2 linked regions of the Caenorhabditis elegans genome follow. The protein of the gene in region 1 interacts with the protein of each later gene in a pairwise test. Each region holds a gene or a part of one and is shown in the gene's direction. Other genes may lie near its edges. The genes, in order: syd-2 and unc-104.

Region 1 (11,700 bases):
CCGGCAGAATGAGATCTGCTTCTGGAAAAACAAACTAAAGTTTCGGTTAGAACATATATTCATAGTGACAAATTGTTTATGACAAGAGTAAATCGCTCTTCTTTTATGTACTTCCGTAGTTACCTCGGCTCATTTTCATCAAATCTCGGCAGCTGCTTCAATGACAGATCTTCTTTTTCGTAACTGCCGAAATATGAGTTAGATGCACTTGATGATGATGTGGCCGCGGTTTTAAGTGGTTCAGTTTCCGTCTAAAAAATGAAAAATTGAGATCCATTGTGACAATAAAATGGAAACTGTAAATTAGTGTGATTGATTGTGTTTGCATTATATTTATTTGTTTTTTTTTCTGGAACTCTTACAATGTTTTCAAGAAAATTTTAATGTATAATTTTTGAACATCAAAAATTCTTTTTAATATTGTTTAAATTTCCGCTTTCCAAAAACAAATCCACAACGAAATGCCACCGGAGTATTTCTGTGAAAATAAGACAAGCTCATTATTTAAAAAAAACTACGATAAATTTCGTGTTTTGAAAGGAAAATATATATTCAGTTACAAAAGCAACTCAGCGTTTGCATACAAATAATTATATTCTTATGTTAATTTTGTTAAAACATAATTCACTTTTGAATAATCATTTTCGAACAGTAATTTCTGATTTCCGTCTTTCTTACTTGGTAAGCGAGCGATCCTTCTTTCAAATGGCCGAGCCTCCTCTTATACTGCGACCATGGAACAATTGCTACTGGTCGAGATTGTTCGTCGCCTCGAATTTCCACTGTGTAAACTGTAACTTTCCCTTCATCAAATTCATGTTTTTGCTAGTTTCCCAGATAAGTTTGACCCCGTAACGGTTATGTTCAAATAGAAATCCACCTTTTGTTAGATGTTGCGCTCTAATTGTATATGGAAATGAAAATCCGATAGAAAAGTATGGAACGGTGGATCTATTTGTTGTCCTTGATCCGTTTCCGTTTTGTTTACACATATCTCACTTTTTATAATAATGAAATCTTCAACTTACTGGGATGCGTACTTGACAAATTTCGGACCAAACGTTGAAAAATTGTCAATGTTTGAAAAAAAAAAGAGAGCTTCTCTAAAAAAAGCTTCAAAACCTTGCCGCGTTGTTGAACGCGTTCAATGTTCTTATACAAAATGCACGCATAGTTAGAACGGATAATTGGCTCAAAATTGTTTTTGGTCAACCTCCAAAATTCGAACAGGCAAAAACTGAGTAAAAGCGCTACACCATCTTTTAGATGATTTAAGAATAGATGAGATGTGCACTTTGAAATCATATTGCGCTTTTTGAATCAATAAAAGGAAATCAGTGATTTTTATCTTCTAAACTGGTGTTTTGTATACATATTTTTATATTGTTCTTTGAAAGTATTTAAATAAAAAAAACACTTACTCAGTAGAAATAAAATCATAAATAAAAAGTCATTTGCTTTGGAAAAATAAAATAGATTCATCGCAGTTGAAGACAACTAAAAAAGTTCAATAACTATTTGATGAATACAGCAAAGTTGCAACCAGTAGCAAAGACCAGAATTTTCGGATTGAAATGCACTAAAACGAGCGGGACGCGCGCAAAGATGGGCGGATGCGGCAGATGATCTGGACACGGTGTGCGCAAGGTGTCTATGTGTCTCCACAAAACTCATATTTTCCACCACCGCTTCTGTGTTCTACTGTCCGCTTACCGTCGGCGTCGTTGCCGCACTTCTGAATAATGCAGTAAACGGCGCGGAACACGCCGGACACTACCATCGTCACCACTTTTTGAGAGAACTTTAAGCGTCGATCGACTGTGTCGAGCTAGCCATCATGCGGCTGTCATTTTTTGTGGTCACTCAATTGGAGTAAAACCGGATATTTATTCATGATGATGACTACGGCTTCAAGGCATCACAAATAAAATGAAACATTTATAAACTGTGGATTGTTTATTTCAGTTTATCTCTAAACTTTTTCAAAGCCACTGTAACAACTTGAAAAAAACAACGGGAAACTGTAACGAACAAAAAGTACGGGGCCCGATTTGTTTTTACAACCAAAGCAAAATTATTAATACCGTATTTCTCGTATCAGTCTTTAGTCAGTCTTTCTTGCCGGTGATTACACCTAATGTCATGTTTTCGTTATATATATATATAACATAATAAGACTAATGGCAGCGGAAAGACTTACTTCAAATGACTCTTGGCTTTGTAAATATTATTGATTTCTGTTGTTTAGAATTCAGGAAATATATACGTTTCTATAGACTAAACGCAACCCACGTTCAAATTTACTTCACACCAAAAATACGATTTTACCTCATTTTCAACAACGTGTAGCTGGTCCGGTATTTAACTAGTGCAAGAATACATATTAGAAGGCACAAGACTAATACGGACTAAATGACTAAATTTTGATTGAAATCCAACAGTGCAAAATGAATATGAATTCTAGACTATTAAAGACTGCAATAAGATATGTTGGATATGATAAATCTTCAAATTCAATAGTGCAAACCTATATATGTTTATATCATGTGGGCATGTGAAAGAACCTGAACTGTATCAAGATATCCCCTCACAGTCAATTATCGCCTCTGGGCATGCTGATTGGCATTTTCGTAACTGTGTATGAATTTTGAAGATGAAGTAGTGTCAGTGGGAAAAATTGCTTAAAACAACTTATGTGATGCAAATTACCAAATATCATTCAAAAAATTTTTTTACAATTTTTTAAAAAACTTTTATTGACCTACAAAAATGGGCAACCCTACAATGTTTGAATATCAGTGTTTGCAGCATAAATAGAGATCATAATTCAAAGAGATTTTTTGATGGAAGACATTTAAAAAAGTGGCTAAGCCGAAATTTTCCCAATTACTCAACAAATCATAACAAACTTAGAATTTTTAAATAATTTTTAAACTAAATTTTTAGTCATTGTGTCACCATAAGTGAGTTTGACTGGCTCTACTCCCCCTTTAATATGAAATGTAGACTGTGAAAAAACACACACACAATTTTGTAGTCATTTTTTTACGTTCAACATTATATAGTTGTTAACAGATATAAAACATTTGGATGTGATTGAATAAACTCAATACAAGACGCTATTTTGCTTGACTGACTTTGAATTATAGAGTATTTTTCACGATCCAGTTAAAATTCAATACTTTTCAGATATTGTACATACTATCTGAACTCCTGATTTCAATTTCGCCAAGTTCCTCACAAATGACACTAAACATGATAAGTTTCATTCCACGCAAGCCATAGTTAGACAACTGTTGTTCGGAATAGTTAAACCTTTATTTATCGAAAAAAAAACGAAAACCTCGGTTACCTACATGTTCCTGTTATCTATGAACACTCACACGCACAGACCCAGCTATAAACACTCTCATTGCAAGAACTATGAACAAGTGGCGTATCGCTCGGTTCTCTTTCTGTTTCTTTCTTTTGCAACGTCATCTTCAGTAATTACGACGATGTGTATGTGTGTATGGGCTAACCGATTCAACAGACGAATGCATGCGCACATCTTCTTCGGCTTTGCTAGCAGAGAGAAAATACTTAGCAAACTCGTCACCAAATTTTAATAAAGTTTCTGGTTTTTTTAATCAGCAAATTGAATCTTATTTTTAATGATAGAATTTCACCCAATATGCTTGCAAACTTTTGAGTGGCATTGAATTTCGACAAATGTCTTAATTGTTTAAAAAAAACTGGTTTAAAAAAGAAGCAACTTCCCTATTTAAATTTTTATTTTAAGAAATCAAAATTAATTGCTAGATTTGCATAGCATCATTGAAATGGTTTCTTAAAAACAATTCAAACGAGTGGCATTGCACAAAAATACTTCCCAAAACATCGTACTGCTTCACTTCGAACTTTGCACCTGCATAAACATCGTAACAGCAAACTCGAAGACATATTTATGTAATTTCTCACAAAATATTAGCGAGGAATCTACTAAATAAATTTTTAAAAAATTTGTCTAACACATAATTCTATTGGCAATTGATTATTACTTTTCAAGGTGCAACATGTTTCACAGCAAACTACTTTGCTAACAAGATATGTGAAATTATTTGCGATCGGAAGCTCTAAATTTATGCAGCTGCGTGCCATAGTGGCTGTCGCCAGTCAACTACTACTACCTCAGGATATTCATCCATCTGTTGAAGGCAGGTGGTCCCCCTCTTTTACTTTCTCTCCGAATATTCATACTCTTTTTCTCCGGGTTTTCTCACTAGTTCCGACCTTGCTCGCACTCGTTCGTCCATGAAAGCATTGATGTTCGGTGACTTTGAAAACTTTATGCAAATCTCAGGAATGTTGGGGTTTTGAGGGGGACGCCAAACGGAACAAAATAGGAAAATCGTAGGGATAGGGGACGTGAAGGCACTTGTTATTTTCATTGCCACTTCCACAAATTGAACGCTTGTTCTTACTCTTGCCTTGTTAGATCCCTCGTCTTTTTTTTTCGATTTCTATCAATCTGTATAACGTTTTACTACTTTACTATTATACTATTTTACGTTCAGAAAATGACTCAGAAATGACGAGTTTATACAACAATCGTGTTGTTAAACTTTTTTCTGCTTCAGTGTTTTGTTCCCCTTTTTTATGCTACTATCACAGAAAACCAAAAAAAAAAACGGAGTTTTAGGAAAAAACATTAAAAGTCTAAAAGTTGGAATCGAAGAAGTGTTCTTGTTTGTCAGTCTTCATTGTCAGTCGATCTTTGAAATTTGAAATAAACTTCCCTGTAAAACCCAATTGAATATATTTTGAGCACTCGTTCTAAATAATTGCTGCATATACTTGGAAGTAGAAAACGTATTCAATTTACAAATGGTTAATATATCACTATGAGTTTAGTGAGAGTAACTTGACTTATATTTAAAATGTTTAGAAATTCTCCGGATGCCCTAATATTAAACGAGAGACTTGCCCAGCTTCGTTCAAGTTTAATTCAGGTTCATCGGTGTCTAAAAAGTTATTGTAAGAAAATTGAGTTAAATCTTTGTTATCATATTCATTGCAATAGGATATAATATAAGTTATCTAAGTTCTGGAATTTTTTCTATAGCCATACAATTTGGAAAGTTTCATACAGTTTCGAAACATTTTCTCACGTTCAACCGTACTATTTCAGGACGTTCAGAATTTTGCCATATCTGTCTCTCTAATATTCTCTTGTCATCTCTATTTCTCTATTATCTTTTATCCTTTACTCCTTTCTCTGTTTCTGTACTTCTCCGAATTGTCAATTCTATCTTGCACTCTCATGTAGGAACCAATTGACGAAGAAATAGCGGGAGGCAGTCAGGGAGGGGACGGAAGGGGGTTTTCTCCCGCGCGCGTAGCCAAACGGCCGATAGATGTGTGACCCTGTGTTCTCTGGCTCTGGCCTGTCTCATCTTTCGTTTGCACCCATTCTCTAATGCCCTAGCATCGATTCGGGCCCACGTCCGGCCACAACGAAGAGGACGAAAAGGAGAAAGAAGGGGGAAGAATACGAAGGGCGAGCACTACTGACCGTTGTGTGTAATTCGGAGCTCTTTCTCTTTATCGGCCTGTGTCTATTGTCTCTTTTTCTTTCCCTCTCTTTTTCCATCTTCTCAACTCTTTTGCTTGGCGAGTTGGTTGTTGCAGTCATATTACTTATAACACACACACAAGAGGAAGAAACGAAAAAAGTAGAGAGAAAGAGAGAGGAAAGAGAAATAAAAACACTTTCAACGGAACTAACTTACTTTTTAGTTCTTTCGTAGTTCTTTCTTAGTTTAGTGTCAACCGTTTTAATTATTTTGTCTTTCAGCTTCACAAAATTATTGCTATAAAAATTATTGTAGGTTATTCACTTTCTGCAAGGTATGACAAATTACTCAACAAGGGCAAGCTGATTCACTTCTTTACATTTTTTTCTGGTAAGTGTATTTTATTTTAAATTTGAAAATTGTATAGTCAACGTTCAGATATTTCTATTTCTAGGCGATGTATCCAATTTCTTCTGTTTCTTGCGTTTTTTCTCGCGCTTTTCTAAATATTTTTCTGCATATCTAGACGATTTCAAAATATAACTAAACATTTATTAATGTTTTGTTTTTGATTGAAAATCTGAAATTTAGTTATCAATTTTAATCTGTTTCAGAAATATGAGCTACAGCAATGGAAACATAAATTGTGATATAATGCCGACAATCTCGGAAGATGGAGTGGACAACGGCGGTCCCATTGATGAACCATCGGACCGAGACAACATTGAGCAGGTCTGTATATTGTAAAACCTTAAAACTGAATGTTCTTTAACTTTTTCAGCTGATGATGAACATGTTGGAAGACCGGGACAAATTACAAGAACAGTTGGAAAATTATAAGGTGCAACTGGAAAATGCAGGGCTCCGAACGAAAGAAGTTGAAAAAGAACGAGATATGATGAAGAGACAGTTCGAAGTTCATACGCAAAATTTACCGCAGGAACTTCAAACAATGACGCGGGAATTATGCCTATTAAAAGAGCAGTTATTAGAAAAAGATGAAGAGATTGTCGAGCTCAAAGCAGAACGGAACAATACTCGACTTCTTCTAGAGCACCTAGAATGTTTAGTTTCCCGTCATGAAAGATCACTCCGAATGACGGTCATGAAGGTATGTCTTTTGATTTATTATTGTTCCCCATTCTATTTGATGTGCTGTAATATTAAAACTTCCTTTTTCAGAGACAAGCTCAAAACCACGCTGGCGTATCTTCTGAAGTTGAAGTTCTAAAAGCTCTTAAGAGTTTATTCGAGCATCACAAGGCATTGGATGAAAAAGTAATTTTTTGTATTTACTCTGTAGATTTTCTAATGTTTTAATATTCAGGTTCGTGAACGTCTTCGAGTAGCAATGGAGCGTGTGGCGACACTTGAAGAAGAGCTGAGCACAAAAGGAGATGAGAATTCGTCGCTGAAAGCGCGTATTGCCACTTACGCAGCAGAAGCGGAAGAAGCAATGGTAATTATTCATTGAAAAAAATAAGAAAGAAAACAGAAAAACGAGAATACATCACATACCCACAAAAATGTGTTTATCAACAAAAATTTTCAGGCGTCAAATGCACCCATCAATGGTTCAATTAGCAGTGAAAGTGCAAACAGACTTATCGAAATGCAAGAGGCTTTAGAAAGAATGAAAACAGAATTAGCCAACTCACTAAAACAATCAACTGAGATCACAACAAGGTACTATCGTAATAACTTTTCAAAAATTGATGGTGAATATATAAACACCTATAAATTTTTGTGGTCAAATTTTTCGGTTTTTTTTCAAAAAAATGTTTGAAGAATGCGTAAAAATTAACTATAAAAATATATTAAATTACATTTAAAAAATTGTTTTCTTATCTCAATTCAGTAAAAAAAATAGGAAAAAATCATGCTGAAAAGCCTATGAATACTCCCCCAAATTTTTAAATTTTAGAAATGCCGAACTCGAGGATCAATTGACAGAAGATGCTCGTGAAAAACATGCTGCACAGGAATCAATCGTTCGTTTGAAGAATCAAATTTGCGAGGTACTTGTGAAATAATCAATTTGTATCGATATTGTTGCTTTTACCTCAAAATCATTCAATTCAAGCGTATTTACTTATTTTTCCTATGTTTAGCTTGATGCACAACGCACCGATCAAGAAACTCGGATAACAACGTTTGAGTCGCGTTTCCTGACCGCGCAAAGAGAGTCAACGTGTATCCGGGACCTCAATGACAAATTGGAGCATCAGGTCAGTAAAAGACATCGCAATTGCATTAGAAACCTCATTTTCTTTTCAGCTTGCCAATAAAGATGCGGCTGTCAGGTTGAATGAGGAAAAAGTTCATTCACTTCAAGAAAGATTGGAGTTGGCAGAGAAGCAACTTGCACAAAGTCTCAAAAAAGCTGAATCCCTTCCGTCTGTAGAAGCCGAATTACAACAAAGAATGGAAGCACTTACAGCAGCTGAACAGGTGTGTTTTTGTTGTTATGTTTGTTTAAAATGTTTTCCTTTTCAGAAGAGTGTTTCTGCTGAAGAGCGCATCCAAAGGTTGGACCGAAACATTCAAGAGTTGTCTGCAGAGTTGGAAAGGGCTGTGCAAAGAGAACGCATGAACGAAGAGCACAGCCAACGGTTAAGTAGCACTGTGGACAAGGTGAGCATTTTAAAATCATACACAAAAGTGTTAGCAAAACATTTTTCCAGCTTTTATCGGAATCTAATGATCGCCTTCAACTGCATCTCAAAGAACGAATGCAAGCCCTCGATGACAAAAATCGGTTAACACAACAGCTTGATGGAACAAAGAAAATTTATGATCAAGCGGAACGAATCAAAGATCGTCTTCAGCGGGATAATGAATCTCTACGGCAAGAGATTGAAGCTCTTAGGCAACAATTGTACAATGCAAGAACTGCGCAATTCCAGTCAAGGTACAACATAATATAATGCATGGTGAAACCGTAATTTTTTCAGAATGCATGCAATTCCGTTTACACATGCTCAAAACATTGTGCAGCAACAACCACAAGCTTCGATTGCTCAGCAATCTGCATACCAAATGTACAAACAACAACCAGCTCAACAGTATCAAACTGTAGGAATGAGAAGACCAAATAAAGGAAGGATTTCAGCACTCCAGGTGAGATTTGGTTTTGTGACATTTTGTTTCACCATGTTAAAATTGCTATTGGCTACAACAAAAAGAAACCAACCATTGAAAAAAATTTCAGGACGATCCGAACAAAGTTCAAACCCTCAACGAGCAAGAATGGGATCGACTTCAACAAGCGCATGTTCTTGCCAACGTCCAGCAAGCATTTTCCTCATCACCATCACTGGCCGACGTCGGTCAATCGACTCTTCCACGTCCTAACACTGCTGTCCAACACCAGCAAGATGATATGATGAACAGTGGAATGGGAATGCCAAGTGGAATGCAGGGAGGAATGCAAGGTGGAATGGGTGGTGGTCAAGATGCTCAGATGTTGGCATCAATGCTACAAGATCGCTTAGATGCAATAAATACTGAAATAAGGTGGGCTAATTATCGTTTTAAAATCTGATTCTATAATGTATTTTCTTAACTTTATTAATTTTTTATTAATTGTTTTTAACAAGTATATTTTAAGATTGATTCAACAAGAGAAACATCACGCAGAACGGGTGGCTGAACAGTTAGAACGATCAAGTCGGGAATTCTATGATGATCAGGGAATATCTACGAGAAGTTCACCAAGAGCAAGTCCCCAATTAGATAATATGCGACAACATAAGTATAACACTGTAAGTCTTCATTTGTTTGTTTTTTTAATACATTTTTTATATGTATTAAATGTTCTTCAAGAATTTTTCTAAATTATAGCTTCCTGCAAATGTATCCGGTGACCGACGGTATGATATTTACGGCAATCCGCAGTTTGTTGACGACCGCATGGTTAGAGATTTGGACTACGAGCCACGACGAGGGTACAACCAATTTGACGAGGTAAGAGTCATCTCAAGAAGGAAGAAGATGATTAATGACCGGTTCGTTTCTTTTGCAGATGCAATACGAAAGAGATCGAATGAGTCCAGCTTCGTCAGTCGCTTCCTCGACAGATGGCGTTCTTGGCGGAAAGAAGAAAAGATCGAATAGCTCAAGTGGATTGAAAACGCTTGGAAGGTTTTTCAACAAAAAGAAAAATTCATCGAGTGATTTATTCAAGTGATTATTTTATTGAGTTATGAAAACATACAATCATTTTTTAGACGAAATGGAGATTATTCGGATGGCGAGCAGTCGGGCACAGAAGGAAACCAAAAAGCTGATTACGACAGGAGGAAAAAGAAGAAGCATGAACTATTAGAGGAAGCCATGAAAGCACGAACACCGTTTGCTCTTTGGAATGGTCCAACTGTTGTTGCCTGGCTGGAGCTGTGGGTTGGCATGCCAGCGTGGTATGTAGCTGCGTGTAGAGCAAATGTGAAATCCGGTGCAATAATGTCAGCTTTGAGTGATCAAGAAATCCAGAAGGAGATTGGAATCTCAAACCCATTGCACAGGTTGAAATTGCGACTTGCAATTCAGGTACTGAGGCTTTAAAAATTTACTAACCGGCAGTAAGACGGCATTTTGTTTGTATGTTGCAAAAAATGAAAAAAAAACACCAAAATAAATTTATCTTGGTTCGAACCAGGTTCTTTCAACTTGAAAGTTCTCATGGCAAGATTCAGCAAAAATACAGCAACTCTGTAGCCAGGTATTTTTTGTTAAAAATTTGCAATATAAATTAATTGTAATGATCAGTCAATGTGTTCACAGATTCCTTTGATTTTTTCATTACATAAAAAATAATATCCTTAATGTTTTTCTGAAATTTTGAATAATGACAGTTAAACTTTCAAATTGAGCAAACAATTATATACAATACAAGATTATATGTATATGCTTTTTTTCAGGAAATGGTTTCTTTAACGTCACCATCTGCCCCACGAACTGCTCGTCTGACTCTTGCCTTCGGAGATATGAATCATGAATATATTGGAAACGACTGGCTTCCTTGTCTCGGTCTTGCGCAATACCGATCAGCGTTTATGGAATGTCTTCTTGACGCTCGAATGTTAGAACATCTTTCAAAACGTGACCTACGCACGCATCTGCGCATGGTAGACACATTCCATCGTACAAGTCTCCAATACGGAATTATGTGTCTCAAGAAAGTCAACTATGATAAGAAAGTGTTGGCGGATCGGCGAAAGGCGTGTGATAATATCAACACAGGTAATAATTATATTATCTTTACAACAATGCCTTTATGGGTAATACCTTGCAGACTTGCTAGTGTGGTCGAATGAACGAGTTCAGCGATGGGTGGAAGAAATCGGGCTAGGTGTATTTTCAAGAAATTTAGTGGATAGTGGAATACATGGTGCATTAATTGCACTGGATGAAACGTTTGACGCATCCGCTTTTGCATATGCACTCCAGATTGGATCTCAAGACGTTCCTAACAGACAAGTGAGTAGAAGTCATCATAATTCAAGAAACCTTTGGGAAAAATTGAAAATAATACTCAAATATCATTTTATTCCGCAAAAACAATTATTCATATAATCTTATACATTTTTAGCTACTGGAAAAGAAATTCATTGGCTTAGTCAACGATCACCGTCAACAATCCGATCCCCATCCGGTAATGCCATAGTCCGTCGATTAACACGTTTTCTTTTTAAACAATAATCAATTCTTACATTGTTCAATTTTTTGTGCTGCTCTCTTGCTCAACTAGATTTTCCTTGACATTTTGCAGTGCTCCTTTAACTCTTCCCGGTTGCTCAAAACATTTTTAATTCAGATATCTAAAACAACTTTAACCTTCAAAAAATCAGCATTTTCAGTCATAATTCACACTGTTAATTAACGTCTTTTCCACAATACTGGTATGATTTGGTGTGTTTGCTCTAACTTCAGTATTGTTTGATCTCATCGTTTAGTAATGTGCAAAATTTCAATTTTCAGAGAAGTGGAAGTTCTCGTAAGAATGATTCCATAGCAAAATCCTACGAGTTTCATTTATATACCTAGTTAGTTAGTTAAATTAAAATTTTTTCCGCTCCCTCTCACTCGTTCGTGTCTTTCCTGTCATTCGTGCTAGTCTAAACGACCTTATACCGCCTGCTTCTGT
Region 2 (11,700 bases), on another chromosome or scaffold:
TTGTATTCCAGAAATATTAATTGTTTTTATTGTTCCATTAATCAAATCACCAATGTTCAAAATATTTTGAATATCCAATTACTTATCGTTCATCTCACAATTTTCACCGGTCTGCACCCTAACTCGAACAAGTTTAATTTAAAATGGAAAAAAAAGAAAGAAACGCAGAGAAAACAATGTTCAATTAGCACTGGAAAAGATCGTTTTCGGTTCTCGGCACGACGCTCGTTGATTGACGATGTTGAGGTGATAAGTGATAAAAAAGAGAAAAAAGAAGGCTTTTCCTCTTTGTATTCTTCTTGTTTCTCATTCACTCACTCACCTTCTCCCTCCTTTTACATTCGATTTTTTCTGCCAACCTTGATTAAAAATCTATCCCTTTCACTAGTTATCTATCATATCAACCATTTCTAGTAGTTCCTTCTTTACTTTTTCCCGTCATTCTACCAATTACCCTTTCGTTTACTTTTTCCATTTCTTTTCATAAAATCATTTTCAGACTTTTCAGAGAAATGTCAATACATCAGACGTCATTTCTATTGTTCACACTTTTCAGTTTATTATCATTTTCAATAGGTTTGTTTCGTTCAATCAAAACACAATAAAATGCCATAAAAACAGGTTCCCAGACCCATATTCAGTTTACACTAAACATAACAATACCCTTTTCACGTATATCTTTTTTTCAGCAGCCGACACATGCCGGGACTTTGATAATAATTGTAGAGATTGGATTACTGTCAATCCAAATGCATGTGATTCAACTGAATATATTAAAAGAAGTTGTCTCAAGAGTTGTGGACAATGTGGAGAGGTTGATCCCAGTAGGTTGTTTCTTTATTTAAAAATTAAAAACTTCAGCTATTACACTTTATTAAAACACTAATGATAGTTTTAAAAAAGTGGAATTCTACATAAAAAATTTTCAAGAAATGACGGAAGAATTTTCACATTAGAAATTCAATAAAATTGAGCAAACAATCTGGAAAAATATTTGAAAGGGTAGTATTTAACATAATATTAGACTTCAAAATAGTAATAAACATTTAAACTATTATATTTTTAAATTTGCAATTTCTTGTGGTTCTAAAACTTCTAAAAACATACTATTATTTCAGAATACGATTTACGTCGTCTTTCTCAGGAACTCACACCAATTGGTTTCCTAGTAGGGAAATGGAGATCTGAACATGGAGGAAAAGTTCGTTTTTGAAACTGTCCAGATTCTTAAATTTAATAAATCTAGGCAATCTTCCCAACAATTCCGAAATTCACATTTGGAGAAGAAATCGAAATTTCAATTCCAGGCGATGCAATGCAATCGGCTCAAGCTCTTAACTACACGTAAGAAAATAACTGAAATTATGCCATGCCTGCATGCCGCCTATTATTTGGTGGTTGTACGAGGCAGGTAGGCATGTTAACGTTCACGTGAAAGGTTTATTGGAAATATTGCCGTTTAGATGTTTCAGATTCAGAAAATATTTAAATTTAGAGCGTTCGCATGGAGTGTAGAAAAAAGAGATGAGAAGAATCCAAACAGGTTTTCATATGTCATTTTTTGTTTTTATTTATTTTCCAAAAAAACCTATTTTTTTGTTTCGAACTGTTGAGTGTTTTGTCTTGGGATTTTATTTTTGATTCTGTCAATTCTGGTGGCTCTTCTATTTTTTTCGGAAAAGTGTACTTGTAAAAGGGAATTGGTGACAATAGAAATCTCAATACTATCTTCAAAATGCTCCGAATTTTCAGAGCATTTGCCTGGTCGATAAATGATAAAGATGAGTTGCACAGTGAATATGGATATATTTCTGTGAAACCAAACACAAAAGAAGTCGCACTGACAACTGTAATGAATAATGGTTTTGTGACAGTCGAAGAAGGTCCAGTCAATGGAAATCAAATTAGATTCCGGCTTAAGGATATCGGAAGAATTAGTTTCAGCAGAGATTTGCCTGTTCATGATGTAAGTTTTTAGAATAGTGTTTTTGTGTGTAGTCATAACAATGAAAACCAACAACAAAATTCAAAAACGCTCTAATTTCACATAATTCAATCAAACTCAAAATTTAAAATATTCAGCTCGTCCGAGAATGGACTCTTCTGGATCGATCAACACTTCAAGCCCGTCTGAACATGGAGACATTAACACATGGAATGCAGGAGCACACATTTATTCGTTACAACAAAATTGAGCCATAAACTGAAGAAAAACGTGTTTATCTCTTTCTATTCCACTTCTAGTCAACTACTTCCCACTCAATTGATTCCCCCTTTCCCCTTAAAAATAAAAACTCTTGCTGCTTTTTATGAGTTTTCCTAAAAGCTGCTAAATATGTATATAGCACCATCTCAAGAGTCACTGTATAATAGAATAGTGAAAATAAATGAGCTGTGAAATGAGCCAAAATGAAAAAGAAAAAGAAAGCAAATGAAGTGAGAAAATGGATGCAAGAATTGACACTTTTATTGGCAATTCATGAGGATTCTAACGATGAGTGAAGATGAAAGAGTAGACTAGCGGAGAATAAGGTTTTAGAAGAAATTTCGATGGGAGTTGATGACATTTGTGATTTTTAAACTTAAATTTTAACTTATCGCTTAGTGATCTTTAATCATAACCGACTTTAGCAAGTTCATGAAAAAAGAAACTTTCGATCGGCATTCGATCATAATTTTTAGACATATTATAGAGCATTCTCGTGTCTCCCCATAGTTGTAAATATGCAACCAGATGTCCGTTGGTGCAATTTAGTTGCTCATCAAGTTCTCTATGTCCATTTCTATTCTGTTCAACCACTTCATTTCCCCTTTTGACATTTTTCTATCTGTGAGAGCTTCATCTCCCATCGTTTCCTCTTAACGTCTTCAGAAAGACAAATCGTTGCCAAATTCATCATTTTCGAGTGCCAGGCATCCAATAACCGAAAGAATGGGAGCAAAGAGTGCTTTTCAACGGAAATTAGAACCATTTTTCTGAAAGAAGTCTGCGCGAGATAAGCAAAGTTTTAAATTTTCATGAAAACCACAAGCGCGTATTTTGAGTTTTTCACAACTTTAGAAAAATTCAAAAAACGGATGCCAACGTTACAGGAAAATGCCGAAAATTCGAGAAACAATAATTTCCATGAACATTTAAAAATAATTTTTTCACGACCCATTTGTAATAGTGAATTAGTAAGGGTATTTAATCTGATACATTTCCAAAAAATAATGCAATGTTTGCCGAAAACTTGACGATTTGCCGTTCGCCTGAAAATACTGTATGATGACTGAAAAATTTCCCGTTTGCGAAATCTGTGATTCCTATAAAATTAGACTTCTAAATAAATTGGCATTTAAAATCATGATTAGAAGAAAACTAAACCACAAAGAATATGAAAACACACTTCTATAATTAATTTTTACAATTAGATATATGATTTCATAAAGCTGCAGTGCTGTTATTTTGATCTCAATCTATTTACAAAAATAACACTGAAAAGTACTTTATGCCTTGCAAGAAATGCTCAATTTCTGTGTATTCTACGCTTAAGCACCTTCTATTCAGCACCTACTCGGGAATTCTCCACCAAATCCATTCTCATTTTCTTCTTTTCTCTCTCAACTCGTCTTCAATCTCTTCACCTCGTCCACTATTTCATCCCCGGAGACTTGTTCCCCAGACGTCGTGCCTCCAATCGATCCATTTGTGGAGCCCGCGTCGTCCACAGAGCTTCTGCCGTTTCATCTCTGCGTCTCGTTCACCCATTAGACGTTGTGCTTCCTCCCTGCCTGAAAATAGCCCCACACAACATAGACTTGCTCTTCTTTCTTCTACTTTTTTTCTCATTCTTTTTTCTCCAGATACGCCTTTATTCAAATGACGTGTTTCTTTTTTTTGTCTGTTCAAAAACCAACAACTCATGATCATCAGATGATGATGGTCAAAAATCCCTTCCGGTTTTCCTTTTCTTCCCAAATTTTGGCTTGGACTTTTTTTGAATTATGACACCAAAACATGCAACGACGTATATATATGCAAACGTAGAATATCGAGTTTCAGAACCGAATCATTGTCGAGATTAAAAGGGAGGAAATTGATATGTGATGGAAATAGATTGAGGGCTGAATTTTTGAGATTGAAAAAACAATTGTATAATGTAAGTAGATAAAACAAAGCTGTATTGAATTTATAAATATCTAATACATTTTCTAATACAAAAATAAATTTGATTTTGTACTTTTCTTAAAAAGTGATCAGAATTTCCACTAGATGTTTTTGGCAACAATCACCTGATAATTGGATTAAAATTTGACAAAACTGTTTAAGTACAAGCGAACTAGATGAGAATTTCTACCTTTTTCTTTCAATTGAATATTTTCGTATTCTATCCCTCCGTGCTTTCATTTTCCATTGACGTTTTATGGTTCAATATATATCCTAAAAGTTTTCCTTACCCTTTCTCCTACTAGTTTCATCTCTTCTTCTAAATAATTAACATTTCTTTATTTAATTGATTTCTTTCCATTTCACGTCATTTCTTCATTTAGCACAACATTCTTCTTTTATTCCCATCCAATCGCCTTCTCCGTTCATTCCGGCCCCTTTTTCAGCTTCAAATTGAACAACAAAAACACATTGCGTGACGATAAAACTTCCAGTTCCCGTCTTCAAAACGTCATTCCGAGAGACTATTCGCCTGGAACCCTCGCCTTTTTTTCATTATGTGCTCATCCCTAAAAGAGCCAAGAGCTCTCAAAAACTGCTGGGGATCTTCGTGAAAAAATGTTTGGTTGAAAATTGTTGAAGCATCTTGAATTACCATTTACTAAAGGACCAAGTATACATTTTGAAATAGGCTCCGAAAGATTGAAGCATATTTTGAACTAGATAATATTAATTAAATTCATTTTGTTGGTGTTAACTTTTATTTTAAGTTGCGAGCATGTTACCGTAAGAACCTTTTTCATTTTTTATTTTAAATAAAATTTTACAATTTGTCTTGAGCAACTTGTTCTATAAGTGATATCAACTTCAAATTAGTGAGCATATAAAATTAAAATGAGAAAAAACAATAGCGTGGATAGAAAAATCACCATAGGCCAGGAAAATCTGTAAGAGATTTTCCCGTGTTAGCTAAACTTTTGAAATTGTTTACATTTTTAAAGGTTATGTTTTACCATCTGATTCTTTACAGATCGGTTTTTTTTAACATATGACAATAGTTTTAACCTTTCGTTTTTGAACCTTTAAATTTGAAAATCAATAGTTTTCATTAAATACTCATTGATTACAGTAGCCATTGGAACTTTATGTCTCCTTTCGCTGACCTTAGGGAACATTGTGCCAAAATCAGTTTTGCTTCCAAAATCAGATTCTATAATTTCTACACTGTGACTCACAAAAACCAACCAAATTCAATCATTTTTCTGTATCCTGCCTTCTTCTTTTTTCGAATGTTCTTTTTCTCCTTGTTTCTCTTTTTTCCATGTTTATCATCGTCATCTGTTGCTTCTTCTCGGCTTCTCTAATTTCAGCCCAACCCCTTTTTTTTCCTCATCTAATTAAATTCGCCTCGAGGCTCCGTCCTCCTCCATCTCTATCTTTTTCTCTTTTCTCTTCCATTCCGAACTTTTTCTTTCCCAATCGACCATCTATTCGAAGATTCATTGCTGCCTTTTTTTCAGCACTCTTCTTCATTTTTTTTTTCGAATACACATTCAATAGAAAACTGGAGAAGAAGAGGAAAAGCATCGAGGAGACGATAAGTGGGGCTCAACGCCATTGGATGATTGACTCGAGCTGAGAAGAAGGACTCAAGAGGTGAGCCAAAATTGCAAAATAGAAGAAGAAAAAATAGAAAAACAAGAGGAAAGGGAAACAAATGTCTTGTTATAGATGTTGATGTGTGAAAAAAAACGATATAGAAAAATGACATGGCTGAACGGAGTTATTATCTTGACTTGAAAGGCGGTATTCGAAAAATTCAGATTTTACGTTAAAAATTCCCTTTTTAACTCAAAGTACCCAAAAATGGGCTAAAATTCAAAAATACCACAATAGAACACTTAAAAGATTCTGTAAGTTTGTAGGACTGCATTTTAATCCTAAAAATATGGTTTCAAAAAAATTAATTCATGTTCTGAAATGTTACTAAGGTTTTGGAAAGATCGCAATGAGCTTTAACTTTTCAAGATTTTTCTTCAAGAGTTGGTAAAATTTTTGACATCAGTAAACTTGTAGTTTTAAAAAACTTTTAAAACCCCTTTTCAATTTGTTTCAAAATTTCAAAATGTTCAAATCTTAATGCTTAAAATTGAAATTCAATGAAAATAGATCACAATTCACGTCATTTGGCATTTGCTTCTTTTCCCTGCCTGAGCCAACATTTTCTAATCGAATCAACCATTAATCTGTTTTATTTCGTCAATTTCTTTTTTCCTTCTTTCCTTATTAGCATATATCGATCTTACTTCAATTGTTTAAATAAATCTCAATAAACAAGTTCAAAATAACATGTGAATTCCAATTTCTACGAACGAATTCTTGAATTAATTAAAACAATTTCAGATGTCATCGGTTAAAGTAGCTGTACGTGTTCGCCCATTCAACCAACGGGAAATCTCGAACACTTCAAAATGTGTCCTTCAAGTAAATGGAAATACGACGAGTAAGTGCCCCAAGGGATTTAGAAATGGCGGGTGACATTTGAGACTGAGTTAACCCCTTTCTACGAAATATTTTCCGAGAAAAAAGGATAGGCTGCCGTCCCAAAATGATGCGAAAAACGTTGGTGACGTCCAAGAGTCTTTGGGAATAATTGAAAAGATGAGAGAGAAGCAATGCATAAAAAAGAACAGACGGGGTCTTGAAATGAATAAGAGGAATTAAAAGATATTCTGGAGGTATGGGATTCAATATTGGGATCTACCATTGAGCAATACCACCACATGTTTCGTTCCGTGTTTCTAACACAGAGTTTTTGAAGCATAGATAGGTGTTCATATTTGCGTTGGAGAGTAGTGATCTCCAAGATATATTTTTATACACAGTCTTTAAATGTTTTATTTTTAAATTTTAATTTTAAAGAATGGTTGTAAAATATGCTCAATTCAAAGCTCCCTGATAACAATACATGATACTGTAGTAGCATACTGTATGAACTGTTTCAAATTAAAATATTCCAATTTTCAGCAATAAATGGTCATTCAATTAACAAGGAGAACTTCAGTTTCAATTTTGATCATTCATATTGGTCGTTTGCGAGGAATGACCCACATTTTATCACCCAAAAACAAGTATATGAAGAGCTCGGAGTTGAAATGTTGGAACACGCATTTGAAGGGTTCGTTTGATGTACATAGATTAATAGTTTAAATAATTGACTTCTAGGTATAATGTCTGCATTTTTGCATACGGTCAAACAGGATCAGGAAAATCATATACAATGATGGGAAAAGCCAATGATCCAGATGAAATGGGTATAATTCCACGTTTGTGCAATGATTTATTTGCACGAATTGATAATAACAATGATAAAGATGTTCAATATTCTGTAGAGGTAATTATTTTTGATACATTAATTCATGGAAACTAACAATATTATTACAGGTATCGTATATGGAAATTTATTGTGAACGAGTAAAAGATCTTCTGAATCCTAACTCTGGAGGTAACCTAAGGGTTCGTGAACATCCTTTACTTGGACCTTACGTCGATGACCTTACCAAAATGGCAGTTTGTTCTTACCACGACATTTGCAATCTGATGGACGAAGGAAATAAAGCGAGGTGAGAGAGTGAGAGACGGAGAACATTAGAGAAAATCAACGGAAGTATCATGGCAAACTAAACCAAGTTTAATGACCGGGGGTATACACAGGTAACCCGCGACAAGCGAGCGATGACTTGCATGCAGGCCGCGTGCAAGCGAATGTAGAACCAAAAACACGCGTGTACGCGGCCTATCCCTCGCCTGTATTTCGCTTGTTAGCGGCCCATCGTTCGCCTATTATTGACATGTCTGTGAGATGGAATCCTTCCAGGATTCGTTCCACCCGCTTGTAGTTTTCACTTTCTTTTCTTATAATATGACAACAGTAGTTTATTTAAATAATATTTATTTAAGAAAAATTTCCAAAAATGCAAAAAAAAATTAGAATTTTTCGGGATTTTCCCTCGTTCCGCTGTCTCTGCTGCACTTGGTTGCTCTGTAGATGCTTTTCCGTGGCGTTTCCGATTGGCTAATCTGAAATTAAATACATTTTTGTATAAAATTGTGTTTTGTTTGCGAAAAATACAATATGAACTGAAAAGTTAAAGGTAGAGTTAAGTCAATTTGCGGTTTTGCCATGAATGATAGCAAAAACCAATTTTGCAAAAATAAAAGAAACATTTGAAGCTAAAATAAGCTAAAATATTACCTCTTTCAAGAAATCCTTGGAAACTGAAGCGAATTTTCAATATCCCCGCGTTCATCCATCGTCTCCGCGCTGCGTGACACGACGGTCGGTGGCTGTTCGGCAATCTTTAAATTTTGCATTATTTCATAGTTTATAAGAATTCAAAGAACAGAAATTATAATATCCCGTCTCTCCTTGCAAAAAACAATAGAAAAAGTGAGAAAAAGAAAGAACATCCAATTCTCATAACAAAAACTACGATAATTGCGAAATAATTGCCGAATAGTACGAATTTCATCGAAAATATGAGAAAATCAAAAATTATCGACATTTTCTGTTATGAAAATTGCATAAAATACGAGCGAAATGGCTTTAAAACGTTGAAAAAGATGAGAAAACGGAAAAATTGTTCAATAAAAATGAAACTGTAAACAACGCGCACCCCGTAATATCGGAGTATCGTTGCCTCTTTCGCTTGTAAATCGCAGAGTCGATGCTAAAAGCTAGTTCTATACTCTAAAATAAGTGCAACTTGCTCATAAAAATATACAGAAACAATACATTTTAGTTATTCCCACGATATCAAAGAAGTTTTTGAAAATATTTTCAAAAAAAGACGTTTTTTCGGTAGAATTTCCAATTTTGAAATTCGAATCATAAGGGTCCCCCTTATGGTTGAAAAAATTTTTCACCTAAAATTTTTTTATAGAAAATTTTTCAAAAAGTGTTTATATTTATAGAAAAAATAGAAATTTGTTAGTTTCCACAAGTCTGAACATTCATATTACATTTTCAGTCGAACAAACATCTAAATTAGAGTTGATTGAGCATTTAACAATCTTATTTTCAGAGACTTATAACTTGGTTGGCGTTTGAATTAATAAAATGTGGTCAACTAAAGAGTTGTTGACAATAATGCAAAGAACATTTTGTTAGTTGGTATCTTTTTGTTATCTTTAGTGACTGTGGAGATGTGAGCCCCAAAAGATGACCAAAATATTCTAGATCTGTGCTCAGCTATATCTCGGTTCTCGATAGAGATGAAGAGATGATTACAACTATCAAAATGTTTATTGTTTTAAGCTAAAAAAGGTTGTAGTTGATGACTTTTTGATATCTCGTTTCTAGAAAATGATACAACCGTTTTAAGACAGGAGGTTTTATTGTTCAGAGCTCCAAGGAAAGTCGGTTTCAGTGATCGAGAGCACCGAATTTGTCAAGAAAATGCATAGAACCAACAGTTAACATATTTTTACAATAACTGATAAATATTTGATAATATTTGAAAAAAAATTTTTTTTGATTTTTTCGAAAAGAAAATTCAAAGGGTCCCCCCTTATGAAAAATTTTAAATTTTTTTTCGAAATTTTTTTTTAACTGTTCAAAATTTGATTGCATCTTATAAAGAAATGCAAATTTTGTGGTTTTTTTTTTCAGTTTAGATGTTCAGAGTACGACTTCAGATGAGAATCTGAGGTATAGTAGAATTCCTATGCTCAAAAAACGTATTCACTTCGGAAGCCTATATCTCTGTAAAAAAAATTTTCATGACTGAGTGATCAACTACAAAGTTGTTTATCTTGATCTAAAGTACAATTTTGTAGTTGATTGTTTTCCTTCAAAAAAATTGATGGTCGAGATATAAACAGAAAAAGAAGAAGAAAATACCAGCATAAACTCGCATCACTCAACACAACTTTATCTTAATCACCAATTTTTTTGAGGGAGAACATTTGACTACAAAATTGTATTTTAGATCAAGATAAACAAATTTGTAGTTAATCACTTTGTCATAAAAACTTTTTCAACGGAGATATAAGCTTCCGAAATGAATACGTTTTTTGAGCATAGGGGTACATATACCTTAATTTTGGATCTCAAACTCGTTTAGACCATTCAAATAGAAGAAACATCAAATTTTAGCAATTCTACAACAACTTGTCAGTTTTTAGAAAGTTTCCGAAAATTTTTTTTTTGGATAAATTTCGAAAAAAAATTTGTAAGATGGGACCCTTCGGATTTTTTTTTTCAAAATATCGAAAAAAAATTTTGTCGAAAACTTTCTAAAAACTGACCAGATGTTTTAGAACTGTCAAAATGTGATGTTTCTTCCATTTGAATGTTCAAAAACAAGTTTGAGATCCAAAATTGAGGTATAATAGAACTACTATGCTCAAAAAACGTATTCACTTCGGATGCTTATATCTACGCGGAAAAAATTTTCATGATCAAGTGATTAACTACAAAGTTGTTTATCCTAATTTAGAGAACAACTTTGTTGTTGACCGGTTTTTGTCAAAAAAATTGTTGGTCGAGATAAAGTTGTGTAAAGTTGGGCACCTTCATGCTTGTATTTTCTTCTTCTCTTTCCGTTCATATCTCAGCCAAAAAATTTTCTGGCAACAAACGGTCAATTATAAAATTGTTCTCTAAATTGAAATGAACAACTTTGTAGTAAATCACTTAGTCATAAAAATTTTTTCCACAGAGATATAGGCTTCCGAAGTGAATACGTTTTTTGAACATAGGAATTCTACTATACCTCAGATTCTCATCTGAAGTCGTACTCTGAACATCTAAACTAAAAAAACCACAATTTGCATTTCTTTATAAGATGCAATCAAATTTTGAACAGTTTTCAAAAAAAATTTCGAAAAAAAAATTAAAATTTTTCATAAGGGGGGACCCTTTGAATTTTCTTTTCGACAAAATAATTTTTTTTTTTTCAAATATTATTAACTATTTATCAGTTATTGTAGAAATATGTTAATTTTGTTGGTTCTATGCATTTTCTTGACAAATTCGGTGCTCTCGATCACTGAAACAGACTTTCCTTGGAGCTCTGAACAATAAAACCTCCTGTCTTAAAACGGTTGTATCAATTTCAAGAGACGATATATCAAAAAGTCATCAACTACAACCTTTTTTTAGCTTAAAGCAATAAACATTTTAATAGTTGTAATCATCTCTTCATCTCTATCGAGAACCGAGATATAGTTGAGCACAGATCTAGAATATTTTGGTCATCTTTTGGGGCTCACATCTCCACAGTCACTAAAGATAACAAAAAGATACCAACTGACAAAATGTTCTTTGTATTATTGTCAACAACTCTTTAGTTGACCACATTTTATTAATTCAAACGCCAACCAAGTTATAAGTCTCTGAAAGTAAGACGGTTATATAACATCTTCTCTCAAAATTTATCTAGGGAATGCGTCTGTACATAGTGCTACTCACAATATTGCCATGTGAGTATTGCATAAACTATCTACAACAAAGAATCAAATACATATTCCCAGAAATCCTGTTTTTG

Evidence for each region.
Region 2: the proteins of syd-2 (region 1) and unc-104 interact in binary tests that used the Caenorhabditis elegans proteins (3 or more experiments, as listed by UniProt).

The regions. Positions count from the first base shown.
Region 1 is NC_003284.9:10,549,410-10,561,109, reverse strand, and holds the start of syd-2 (Liprin-alpha), read left to right. Parts: upstream 1-5,870; 5' UTR 5,871-5,945; intron 5,946-6,169; 5' UTR 6,170-6,173; coding exon 6,174-6,287; intron 6,288-6,336; coding exon 6,337-6,666; intron 6,667-6,737; coding exon 6,738-6,833; intron 6,834-6,882; coding exon 6,883-7,014; intron 7,015-7,107; coding exon 7,108-7,241; intron 7,242-7,479; coding exon 7,480-7,573; intron 7,574-7,666; coding exon 7,667-7,783; intron 7,784-7,832; coding exon 7,833-8,006; intron 8,007-8,051; coding exon 8,052-8,189; intron 8,190-8,239; coding exon 8,240-8,466; intron 8,467-8,509; coding exon 8,510-8,675; intron 8,676-8,766; coding exon 8,767-9,071; intron 9,072-9,165; coding exon 9,166-9,319; intron 9,320-9,398; coding exon 9,399-9,521; intron 9,522-9,579; coding exon 9,580-9,740; intron 9,741-9,784; coding exon 9,785-10,103; intron 10,104-10,474; coding exon 10,475-10,796; intron 10,797-10,848; coding exon 10,849-11,033; intron 11,034-11,145; and 4 more. Other genes in the region: F59F5.7 (DM13 domain-containing protein), read right to left, coding at 1-21, 124-251, 679-791, 1,422-1,482. UniProt on the Caenorhabditis elegans protein: May play a role in regulating the structure of the neuronal region, called the active zone, from which synaptic vesicles send neurotransmitter signals across the synapse. This may be in association with the liprin-beta protein hlb-1.
Region 2 is NC_003280.10:6,989,381-7,001,080, forward strand, and holds the start of unc-104 (Kinesin-like protein unc-104), read left to right. Parts: upstream 1-5,606; 5' UTR 5,607-5,806; intron 5,807-6,553; coding exon 6,554-6,653; intron 6,654-7,177; coding exon 7,178-7,328; intron 7,329-7,375; coding exon 7,376-7,544; intron 7,545-7,594; coding exon 7,595-7,773; intron 7,774-8,066; coding exon of another isoform or gene 8,067-8,230; intron 8,231-8,405; coding exon of another isoform or gene 8,406-8,511; intron 8,512-11,700. Other genes in the region: C15F1.1 (ShKT domain-containing protein), read left to right, coding at 513-576, 690-824, 1,119-1,201, 1,247-1,344, 1,496-1,543, 1,753-1,966, 2,083-2,202. UniProt on the Caenorhabditis elegans protein: Motor protein involved in microtubule-associated anterograde transport. Regulates the transport of synaptic vesicle precursors in the axon of DA motor neurons. Regulates the polarized sorting of axonal proteins.